3 linked regions of the Diceros bicornis minor genome follow. The protein of the gene in region 1 purifies or fractionates together with the protein of each later gene. This does not show direct contact. Links are inferred from orthologs where the notes say so. Each region holds a gene or a part of one and is shown in the gene's direction. Other genes may lie near its edges.

The links.
Region 2: the proteins of HDAC6 (region 1) and HSP90AB1 purify together in Homo sapiens (affinity purification with mass spectrometry, with the first as the bait; 4 studies listed by BioGRID). This does not show direct contact. The link is inferred for Diceros bicornis minor from reciprocal best matches to the Homo sapiens genes HDAC6 and HSP90AB1.
Region 3: the proteins of HDAC6 (region 1) and RPS6 purify together in Homo sapiens (affinity purification with mass spectrometry; 3 studies listed by BioGRID, with this or other methods). This does not show direct contact. The link is inferred for Diceros bicornis minor from reciprocal best matches to the Homo sapiens genes HDAC6 and RPS6.

Annotation. Positions count from the first base shown.
Region 1 is NC_080781.1:42,093,794-42,097,538, forward strand, and holds the start of HDAC6 (histone deacetylase 6), read left to right. Parts: upstream 1-817; 5' UTR 818-997; coding exon 998-1,093; intron 1,094-1,292; exon of another isoform or gene 1,293-1,433; intron 1,434-1,507; exon of another isoform or gene 1,508-1,734; intron 1,735-1,823; coding exon 1,824-1,946; intron 1,947-2,030; coding exon 2,031-2,159; intron 2,160-2,293; coding exon 2,294-2,382; intron 2,383-3,745.
Region 2 is NC_080753.1:21,618,239-21,621,983, reverse strand, and holds the start of HSP90AB1 (heat shock protein HSP 90-beta), read left to right. Parts: upstream 1-1,192; 5' UTR 1,193-1,288; intron 1,289-2,749; coding exon 2,750-2,896; intron 2,897-3,195; coding exon 3,196-3,402; intron 3,403-3,502; coding exon 3,503-3,662; intron 3,663-3,745. UniProt on the Homo sapiens protein: Molecular chaperone that promotes the maturation, structural maintenance and proper regulation of specific target proteins involved for instance in cell cycle control and signal transduction. Undergoes a functional cycle linked to its ATPase activity.
Region 3 is NC_080761.1:41,585,196-41,588,940, reverse strand, and holds the start of RPS6 (small ribosomal subunit protein eS6), read left to right. Parts: upstream 1-885; 5' UTR 886-952; coding exon 953-958; intron 959-1,006; exon of another isoform or gene 1,007-1,125; coding exon of another isoform or gene 1,126-1,128; intron 1,129-1,506; coding exon 1,507-1,638; intron 1,639-2,182; coding exon 2,183-2,393; intron 2,394-2,586; coding exon 2,587-2,733; intron 2,734-3,745. UniProt on the Homo sapiens protein: Component of the 40S small ribosomal subunit. Plays an important role in controlling cell growth and proliferation through the selective translation of particular classes of mRNA.

The DNA of each region.
Region 1 (3,745 bases):
GATATTTAGACATTTAGACATGAGGTGGGAGGCAGTTGGGGGGGCGCGCAAGGGGGCAACTCCCCATACCCCCCAGGCACATACTTTCTATTACAGCTTGAGAGCAGAGGTTACCCGGTGGAGGGGGCTGGCAGGGAGAGCTACTGCCCAAGAAATACTCCCCTCCTGGAGTCCATTCTGGCCCCAGGCACTATTATTATCACAATTTTCCAGATGAGGAAACTGAAGCAGAGATGTTCAGTAACTTGCCCAAGGTCACATGGCTAAGTCGCGGAACCTCAGTTTCCTTATCTGCAAAGCAGCCTTAATAATGGGAACTACCTCACAGAATTGTGGCTTACGACAACGCCTACCACACAACACTTTCTATCATTACAATTACTCGCCCCTACTAAGACTCCTTCCGCCTCACTATCCATTTTCGCGGTAGAATATTAATAGCTAACACTTGGTGAGTGCTTCCTGTGTACTACCTTAAAGAATATATTAACTCAGAAAATCCTCACATTTATGATCATCACCAATCCCATTTTGGCTGCCAATAGCCATTGTCCAGTTTCAACCGCGCTCCCGGCCAAGAGGCCGGCCCGCCCGCGCTACGTCATCACGGCGCGCCGCGCGGGAAGCCGCGGGGAGGAGAAAAGACGCCTCTTCCTAACTCTCCCGCTTGCTTGCTTTCTCTCCTGACTCATTGCACGGCAGGTGGCGCGGGCCCGGAGGACTCCTCAGGTGGCTGGACAGGCACAGACAGACAGCGGCCACAACAGCCAGGACAACAGCTGAGGTGGTTGGGGGAGGGGCAAGCTTGAGCCTGAGCGCGGCGTCGAACGGCCGGCGCGCGCTTCACGCAGGCGCAGCACGTCCCGCGTCGCGCGCTGACGTACTGACCCGCTGTTTGTGAGCCCGCGAAAGGCGCGGCCCACACGAGGGGCGCGGCCCTGTGGCACGAACACCGGTGTGGGCGGGATCAGGGCGGGCAGTAGAGAGACCCGGCCCAATGGAAAAGAAGACCTCAGGCACTCGCGGCCCCACAGGTCGCCGGGAATTTGGCGGCGGGAGCCAAGGGCGGAGTTTGAGAAAGGGGCTGCGCCCAGTAAGTGGAGCCGAGGCGATTGGTCAGCGTCGACGGCGGGGCCGCGAAGGGGGAGGGGGCTGGCGGGAGGCGGCTCCGAACTGGCTGAAGGGGCTTGGTGACGCGTTAGGGGTAGGGTTTGGGCAAGGGGGTGGGGCCTGCTGGAAGGAAAGGGGAAGTCCCCTGAGGAGTAGGGCTTGTTGAAACGTTAGGGGCGGGATCTGGCCAAGTGAAAGGTGCCGGTCCGGCCAGATAAGGGGTGGAGTTAAGTGGATCGTTAAGGGTGGAGTCGGGGCCGGGCCTGGGTCTGGCTGAGTGAAAGGGTGGGTGATTATCCCGGGAGATTGACTGGAAAGGGCAGGTTTGTGAAGGGGTGGGGTATGGGCGAGGCTTAGAGGAATGAAAGAGTCTGGGAATGGGGCTTGGTAGAGCGGAAGGGGCCGTGATTAGCTGGAAAGTACAGGCCCTAGAACGGACTGAGCCTGGGCGTTAATTGCTCAGTGAAATGGCAAGACTTTGAAAGGGGAAAGAATTAGAGGGGTGGAGCCTAGTGGAATGGGCGGGACCAGGTGGAATGGACACCTCAGTGGAGGAAGAGGGCCTTGAGAGAGGCAGAGTTTAGAAGGCGGTGGGGAATAGGATAGCCTAAGAGATGGAAACTGGTATAGGGGGCGGGGCCTGGGAATGGGCTGGGATATGGGGTCCTCAGGGCACTCTAGCCCCTTCACAGTCACCTCCACCCCACCCCCAGAAACTCGTCAGGGGCGAAGTCCCCCCGACCATGACCTCCACCGGCCAGGATTCCACCACAACCAGGCAGCGAAGGAGTAGGCACAGTCCCCACTCACCACCCCATGACTCCGGCGTCACCTCGGTGAGGCCCCAGACCTGCCCTGATGAGGGAGAGGGGAAGCAGTGGGCCGTGCACTGGACTCTGACCCTTTTCTCTGTTTGGCAGAAGAGAGGTGTTAAGAAGGGTGCCACACTCCGCTCCAGCCCCAATCTAGCGGAGGTAAAGAAGAAAGGCAGAATGAAGAAGCTCAGCCAAGCAGCCGAGCAAGACCTAATCATGGGGCTACAAGGGCTGGTGAGAGGGGCCTGGCCGCAATTTAGCCTCCTGTGACCATCAAAACCCTGAGGTTCTCCATCCTGGACAGTATGGGATGTTCCCTCTGACTTAGGGTCTAAATCCATCGGTGTCTCCCATTTTTTTCCCTGCAGGATCTGAACCTTGAGGCCAAGACACTGTCTGGCACTGGCTTGGTGTTCGATGAGCAGCTAAATGATTTTCACTGCCTCTGGGATGACAGGTGAGGCTGGCTTCTCCAGGCCGTCCCCAAACCACACAGATATACACACTTAGAGCCTGTTAGCAAGAATTAATCCTTTCTTACACTAGCCTAGAGACTGGAAGCAGGTGATTTAGGGAGATGGGGCTCAGGCTTGAAAAGGTTCTTTTCCTTTAGCCAACAAACATTTATTGAGTGCCTACTGTGTGCCAGGAGTTGGTGATACAAACATGTCAGACAAGACGGAGTCCCTTCTCAAGGAGCTGACAGGGGAATGGGAGAGCAGATCATTAAACAGCCAACAGCAGTGTGAGGTGTTTAATGAAGGAGGACTTAAGACCAGAGGATTCGGGAGTGTTTAATAGAGGACCCTAAACTAGCATCCAGGGTTCCCAGAGGCTTCCATGAAGAAGGGACGTTTGTGCTGAAACAGAAGAATAATACCTCCTATTCGCTCACACATGTTGTAATCCATCAGAAATTCTTTGGGCTCTGTGTTTGAAATGTATTCAGTATCTGATGTCTCCTTACCACCTCCACTGCCACCATCATCATCACTCACCTAGACTTGCAGAGGCTTCCTCACTGGTCCCCTGCTTCCAGCCTCACCCCTGCTGTCTGTTCTCCACACAACAGCCTAAAAAAATATGTACTAGGTGATGTTTTCTTTCTTAAAATCCTTCAAGGGCAGACCATTCCTCTGAAGGTAAAGTCCAAATTCTTCATCCTGGCCTCTAAGGTTCCATGTGATCTGGCTCCACATCATCTTGGTGACCTCATCAGCCAGTCCTCCCTGTCATTTGCTTCCCTTCCCTTCACTTCACTTCACCCACACTGGTCCCCTTGCTGTTCTTCCAACATGCTAGGCACTCTCCCATCTCAGGTCTTTACCCTGGCCGATCCCTTTTCCAGAGATTCCTTTCCACCTTCTCCTTGCCCGGTTAACATTCACATCTCAAGGAGACTTTCTCGGAGAGGCCTTTGCCTGGCCACTCTCCCTCCTGCACACCTGATCTTTGTTTTTTATTGTGAATTTTTTTTTTTGTGAGGAAGATCAGCCCTGAGCTAACATCCATGCTAATCATCCTCTCTTTTTGCTGAGGAAGACCGGCTCTGAGCTAACATCTATTGCCAATCCTCCTCCTTTTTTTTCCCCCCCAAAGCCCCAGTAGATAGTTGTATGTCATAGCTGCACATCCTTCTAGTTGCTGTATGTGGGACGCAGCCTCAGCATGGCCGGAGAAGCGGTGCGTCGGTGTGTGCCCGGGATCCGAACCCGGGCCACCAGCAGCGGAGTGCACGCACTTAACCGCTATGCCACAGGGCTGGCCCAATTGTGAAATTTTTGTTGTACATTATTGTTTATCAGTCACCATATAAGTGC
Region 2 (3,745 bases), on another chromosome or scaffold:
CAGGGATCCCTGGAGACCCTGCCCTCCCCAAGTCTAGGCAGCTGCAGGAGGGAAGAAGGCGAAAAAAACGAAACAATTCTGAGAAACAGCTAGATGTGCTTGTGTAGGGAAGACGCAAGTCTCTGCGTTCCACACGAGTGGGCGGCTGCAGAGGCTGGGGAGGGTCCCTCCGGTAGCGGCCCCGTTCCCGGTCTCGGCTTGCTGAAGGCGGCGCCCGCAGAGCCGCCCCAACAGCCAGTGTGCTGTGTGATTGACGGGGAGAGGAGGGGTCGAGCAACCATTCCCTCTACGCTCCATCCCCGCCACGAGCCCGTCCCGGGTAGCTAAGCCTGGTGGGTGGGGAAGAGGGTCCCGCCTTCCGACTGGACCTAACAGTAAAAGGAATTGGGGTACCCTTTACCTCCCCGGGAACCATGGCAGAACGGTCGCGGGGCGGAGCCGCAGCACACGCCGCAGCGGGCGGGGCGGAGCCTCGAGGGAACGGGCGGGGAGGAGGCGGGGCCTCCGAGGCGGGCCTGGAAACTGCTGGAAGTAATCGCAGTACCGCCGTCGTCGCTCCTTCCGCCGCGCGCGGGCAAAGAGTCCCCCGCCAGCCTAGGCCGGCGCCCCTCCCCCAGCCAGAGCCACACCTCGTAGCGAAACGCCGGTCTTTTCCCCTGTCCCCGAGAGGGCCGGGACCCCGGGGCTGCCCATAGCTGGGCCTCGATTTCCGCACCGTCCCCGGAGAAAACCCCTCCCCCTTATCGGGATGTAGGAATGCGTAGGGCAGATTCTAGGAGAGAGGTCGAGCCTGGGAACGGAGGTCGGAGTGGTTGGCCGCCTCCACCCCTGTTGTTAGGTGTCCCTCGAAGGCGGGACTCTTGGGTGTCCTTGCCCCACAGATCTTTAGGGAGGTCAGTGGGACGCTGGCCCCTAGATCCACCGCTTATGTCACATGAGCATTCTCAATCTCTAGCTCAGGTGGGGTCATGCCTTGGAAGCGCTGAGACGCGTACGCTCTACATGCACACCAAGGACAGCTGCTCTCGCCTTTCACCGCCCCCACCGCTACTTTGGACCATGACGTCAAGGTAGGCGGGCGGCGGCAGGTGCGGGGCTGACAGGCATCCTCCTTTAGAGCGGAGGGATCCGGGGGCGGGCAGCTGGGCTGTGCTTCGCCTTATATAGAGCGACTAGGGGCGCACAACCGCTCTCTTGAGTCACCCCCTCGCAGGCCCGTTGTGGCGTGTGAGCCGGCCACAGTCTGCCCACCTTGCTCCTGTAGTCTTTGCCATCCTTCCCCGTTAAGGTAAGGCCGCGGTTTTCTCCTTCCGGCGTTTCTGTCTTGAGCCCTCTTTCGAGTTGCTTTCGTCCCCCCGTCCTTTCCAAAGGCCTAATTTTCTTCACTGGGGCGGCCTTTAGGATACCACTCCTCCTGATTTCTCTCGGAAGTGGGTGGGAGGGACCCCTCGAGGTTGGCATGTTTTTCTCCTATGCTTGGGTGGCAGGCCTTCTCTCAGGCGGCGACTATCTACGGGCGAGATGGGCCTCGGCGTGGGGCTGGGTAGTGGGCAGCTGCACGTGGTGGCCGCGCCGGCCCGGGACGCTGCCATGTTTGCTCCTCCACTTCCGGACGCGACTACGGGGCGCCGGAGGGTCCGCAAGGGTCGTGGGTGTGCGCGCTCGGCGTGACTCAGCTCGGCCTGGTGCTGGCCTGGTTTTGCCACCTCTTGTATGAGACGCGTTTTTCAAGTCTAGTCGGTTCCTTCATGTGAGGGTCCGCGACGAGGAACGCTTTCGATCTCTTGTGGCCCGTCGTGCTTTCTCCTTCCAGATCTTTCTTGCAGTCCTGGTGGAGGAGGAGGGGAGGGGGCAGGCTCTGGGAGATTAATGGGCTCTTTGCTCCCCCGCCCCTCTCCGAGAGCTGAGATTGTTCTGGAAGCTTCTGGAGCCCGGCGCCCCGCCCTGGTGCTCGGATGCTGGGGCGAAGGGAGGCTGCGCGGCGGCGCCCCCTCCTCGTGTGTCCCCGGCCGACGCATGTCCGGCAGTGACGAGGGTCGGCCTGGTGGACCACGGCCACCATCTTAGTTGTGTTTGGTTTGGCACTCTACTTTGGTCACATGTGTTGAGGTGTCGCGATGGAGCTTTTGCTTTATCGGTTCTTTGTCTTAATAGCACCCTGGGCGGGTATCCCACTCATCTTAGGGGTTATCCTCCTCTAGTGTGTGAGGCTGCAATGTCACTTTCCCTCGACGTAGGAGATAATCTAGTGGGAGAGCAGTTTCAAATCATTGCCGTTTTAAAAGTAGTCACGTTGGGTTTTTTTTGCCATGTCAAAAAAGGTAATACAATTGTAGTTAGTGATTTCCACATTGAAAGGTGCGTGTGGATTATCTGGGACTCTCTCTCGTTCAAGATAATCTGCATTAGGTGTAGTCTTACAGTTCTAACAAAGCTCCTAGGTGATGCTGAGGCTTCTGGTCCATGGACCACTTAGAGTAGTTTGGATCCAAGATACTTTCCAAAAGACCTGACCTCATATTTTGTTGAACATGTTGGTTTTTCTGTTCTCCCAATTGGTTTCCCGCTGAGGGTGCAGCCTGAAATCTTTTGAAGGAAAGGGTCTTCAGTCTCTTGAGAATGGATACCAGGCAGCTCAAAGCAGTTTGAACTAAATCTCTTCATCTTCATTGTGACTGGGGTGAACTTGAGGAGTCTTAAATTTGAGATCATGGTGTTCTTTAGTAATCCTTGACCATTCTTATTTTAGATGCCTGAGGAAGTGCACCATGGAGAGGAGGAGGTGGAGACTTTCGCCTTTCAGGCGGAAATTGCGCAGCTCATGTCTCTCATCATCAATACCTTCTATTCAAACAAGGAAATTTTCCTTCGGGAGTTGATCAGTAATGCGTCTGATGTGAGTGCTCAGAGCGTTGTCTTGGGTGTTGTTTTTTTTAGCACTCCAGAAAAGGGAAGAGGGGGTGGTTTGGTATTTTGTAGGGCCTGCTATTGAAGGGGATAAATCTGCTGCAGTTACAAAAGGGTTTGCCTTGTTCCACTTCGATAGAGAAGATATTGTAACTGTAACTGGTTCTTAAATGTCAAGGGATAATCAGAATTGAGGCTATTTGGGAGTAAAAATGGAAAAAGTTTTCTTTTGGATGAAGGGAAGGGCTTTAGGAAAGCAGAATTGTAAGTTGCAATTTATGTTTTCAGGCCTTGGACAAGATTCGCTATGAGAGCCTGACAGACCCTTCCAAGTTGGACAGTGGTAAAGAGTTGAAAATTGACATCATCCCCAACCCCCAGGAACGCACCCTGACACTGGTGGACACAGGCATTGGTATGACCAAAGCTGATCTCATAAATAATTTGGGAACCATTGCCAAGTCTGGTACTAAAGCATTTATGGAGGCTCTTCAGGTATGTGATATTTTAGCTAGGCAGGCACAATTCCTCATTATCAGTGTTCTTTAGCTTGCTATTTCTTCAAAATTTGTGTTTAACTTTTTAACTTTGGCAGGCTGGTGCAGACATTTCCATGATTGGACAATTTGGTGTTGGTTTTTATTCTGCTTACCTGGTGGCAGAGAAAGTGGTTGTGATCACAAAGCACAATGATGATGAGCAGTATGCCTGGGAGTCTTCTGCTGGGGGTTCCTTTACTGTGCGTGCTGACCATGGTAAGTAGGCTATCCTGTTGAGATATCTGGGTTAGAGTTCTGGGGAAGCCTATAATAGAGATTTTGAGCATCTTATCTATAAA
Region 3 (3,745 bases), on another chromosome or scaffold:
TTATCATCTAGCAGATATCATTTTATGTATCGTGATTAAGTACTATACAGGAAAACAGGGCTATACTAGAGAATAAGTAGAAAGACGCTCTTTTAGGTCGTGTGGGCAGGAAAGGCTTCTCTTACGAGGGATATCTAATCAGAAAGACCTGCCTGGCATCAACGAGCGGCAATAGATGAGTCTGGGACTTTGGAAGGTTTGTGAGGCCAGGGTAAGGAGTTGGGAAAGTATTTAACTGCAGTGGGAAGTAAATGCTGCATTTCCAGCAAGGGAGTGATACAATTTTGCGTTTTAAAAAGATCGTAGAGGCAGCACAGAAAGCAGGGAGACTATTTAGGAGGCACCGATGGTTCCCTGGACTTGGGGTAATTGTGGTTATTGATTTGCGCGACAGGGTAGCTGAGGGTGTCATTCTGCAACAGAACAACGATGACTGCAGAGCGGTTAGAGGACCACAGAGTATTTAAAGGAAAAACAAATCACGGTTTTCAGGGCGTCTTGCTGTGAACCGCCGGAACCAGGGCCGGACACGCTCCCGATCTGGAAATGTTCGGCCGGAGTCTGAGGTACCGGACAGCCCGAGAGCTGACCTCCGGTCCTGCCCTCCTTTTTTGGTACCATCAGATGCAGAGTGTCCGGGACCGACTGGGGCCCCGCCCTGGCCCAGAAGAACGCGGGAAACATCAGGCAGTGTAGAGGCTAACCTTCAGAACTAAGCCTCTGCCGCCTCATTCAAGCCCCGCCACTAGGGTGGCTGCGTACTTGCCACCGCGCAAAGCCACCCCACGCCGCTGAATAGCCCCACTCCCGGAAGTGCAGCCTACCCAGGCTCACTTCCGCTTTCCCAGTCGTCTGCCCTTCTCGCGAGAACTGGAAGAGCCTATGTGACCTGCGCTAAGCGGAAGTTGGGCCTCTTTTTCGTGGCGCCTCGGAGGCGTTCGGCTGCTTCAGCATGAAGGTAGGCAGTGGCGGGGGGCGTTGAATTAGGCTCGGGGAAAGTGAATCGAGTTCGAGAACACGGCATTGCCGCAGTCCTACGTCTCCAAAATCCTGGCTCTAGCTGGGGAAGGGTCTGAGGCAGGACAAGCCTCGCCCTTCTGGGGCCAGAGCTCTTTGGGAAAGCGGATGGCGAGCGATTGCTGCTGGAGCTGCGGCGCCCGGCAGCGCAAGCTATGGTGGCGTCCTGGCACCCTGCCGGGACAGATGCGGCTCTGCTGCCCGGGTGGCGGCCCCCGGGTCGGCCTCCTTGCTCCGAGAGGGTGAAGGCTGCGGAGCGCCTGTGGCCCGCGGAATCATTCCGCGAGGCTTGAGGAAAGACTTCCCAATTGGAGTGCGGCGCTCGTTGCGCGCTGTTGCGTACACATGTGCTTTAGAGAATAAAATGGACATCTCAGATTTTCTGCTGGTTGTGTGGGGGTGACATGAAAAGCTTTTTGCATTAGGATTGTCTTTGTTGGTGGCTCTGCGGTTTTCATAAAGCTGTTTTTTCCCCCGTTTAATCCTTAGCTGAACATCTCTTTCCCAGCCACTGGCTGCCAGAAACTCATTGAAGTGGACGATGAACGCAAACTTCGTACATTTTATGAGAAGCGTATGGCCACAGAAGTTGCTGCTGACGCTCTGGGTGAAGAGTGGAAGGTAAAAATTGAGTACAGCATTGAGTTGTTGGAACTAGTTGAGAGATGGTAAACGCTGTTGATAATTGGGGTGTGTAATGGGTTTCAGACTCAGGGTTCTGTCTTCTGATCTTGGGTTAGTGACTTCTAAATGTCACTTTATAAGGTTGAGCTGTCACCTGGCAGGGTTATGTAGATCACATGGGAAAATATACCTGAAGTTCTTGTCCTGCAAGCTAATGGTCTCCGAAGGGTATCTTGAATTAAAAGTGCCAAGAAGGGTTGTTTGTGATTTGTTGCTCGTTGGTCCTTTGGTTTTTTAACGTAGTCTTTCTCCCCCTGGAGCTGTTACCGCTGGTAAAGCAAAGGCTAGGAATATGACTTGATTGGAAGGAATTTGCTAATTGAGCTTGGCAAATTGGAAATGTAGATAAAACTTAGTGGCCAGAGAATATTAAGAAGTTTCAAATCGGTCTTAATTAACTGTACTTCCTAGAATTGAGGGGTACACCTTCGTAGAGGCCACAGTCCTTTATTTTATAACGTGTCATTGTATTCTCCTGCAGGGTTATGTGGTCCGGATCAGTGGTGGGAACGACAAGCAGGGTTTCCCTATGAAGCAGGGTGTCTTGACCCATGGCCGTGTCCGCCTGCTATTGAGTAAGGGGCATTCCTGTTACAGACCGAGGAGGACTGGAGAAAGAAAGCGCAAATCTGTTCGGGGTTGCATTGTGGATGCCAACCTGAGTGTTCTCAACTTGGTCATTGTAAAAAAAGGTGAGGGTTGCTTGTGTTCTTGAGTTCAATTTTTGTTGACATTGATTTAAAGTTGATTGTCCGAGTGCTTTTTCATTTGCAGTATCCACAGTTTGACCAATGGACTTTTACCAGTGCATAAACAATAAATTAGAGTTCTTGTTTGTGAGGAAGTTGTTGAATTAAAATGTCTTTGTTCACTTGTCTCTTTTAGGGGAGAAGGACATTCCTGGACTCACTGATACTACTGTGCCTCGTCGGCTGGGGCCCAAAAGAGCTAGCAGAATCCGCAAACTTTTCAATCTCTCTAAAGAGGATGATGTCCGCCAGTATGTTGTGAGAAAGCCCCTAAACAAAGAAGGTAAGGGAGATTCTGCAATCTTAATGTCAGTAAGTTAACGCTGGCTTAATTTCAGTAATTTGGCACTAGCATTTTGTGTGCATATTAGATGATAAAATCTGTGCCCACTCTTTATTTACCTGGAGTCTGAGTTTTCAGGAAATTATTGGGGAAGAGTGTCAAGATATGCAGTTGGTGTTAATCCTTGTTACATCCAGTGCCCTCTTATATTTTCCTTGAAAATGTGCCTGTGAGTCAATTGATGTGTAAGTCTACCCAAAGATAACTTACCAGACATTAAGATCTTGCTTTTGAATTAGTGGAAAGAATGATAGAAAATTCTGGGACTATGATTGAATGTGCTCTCACTCCCACACACTTTTGCTTTTTCTTTGCATAGCAGTCTTTCCATAGCAGAAGTTCTAATTTTTTTGTTTTTTCTTTATAAAAGAAATACGTGCTTTCATCAACTGAAGTTGCTTTAACTTCTGGCCCTTGTTTTCTTCATCTGTAGGATGCGAGTAGCGATAGTAAGAGTTGTGAGAATTAGAAATTAGAAAAATATTTTATTAAAAACACTAGGGAACAGGTGTTTGGGATTTTGGAGTTTTATATTTTAAGACGGTATAATGTTTATTAAGCAACATAACCCATCACCAGTGAAGTCTTTGGCAGCAATGCTCTGTAACATTGATATTTCTGTAGTGAAATGTATGAATATTTACAGTAAATAGAATAAATAGCACGTCAGTTCAGGTTGGGTTCTCCTGACAAATCTGAAAAAATTTGAGTTTTGGTTTTCAGGACTGGGGACTTAAACCTATACCTAGCCTATACTAAGTGCTCATTGGTTACTCATTCCAAATATTTGGACACCTATGTGCCAGGTGCTATTTTAAGTGTTGATACGGTATGAACACACGAATTACTTTCCTCTTGAAGTTTACATTTAAAAAAAATAATTGGCAAATATATGGTAGTTCCCCATAATCAGACCCCTGGCAGTACCATACATCAGTGTAGTAAGGTGCTA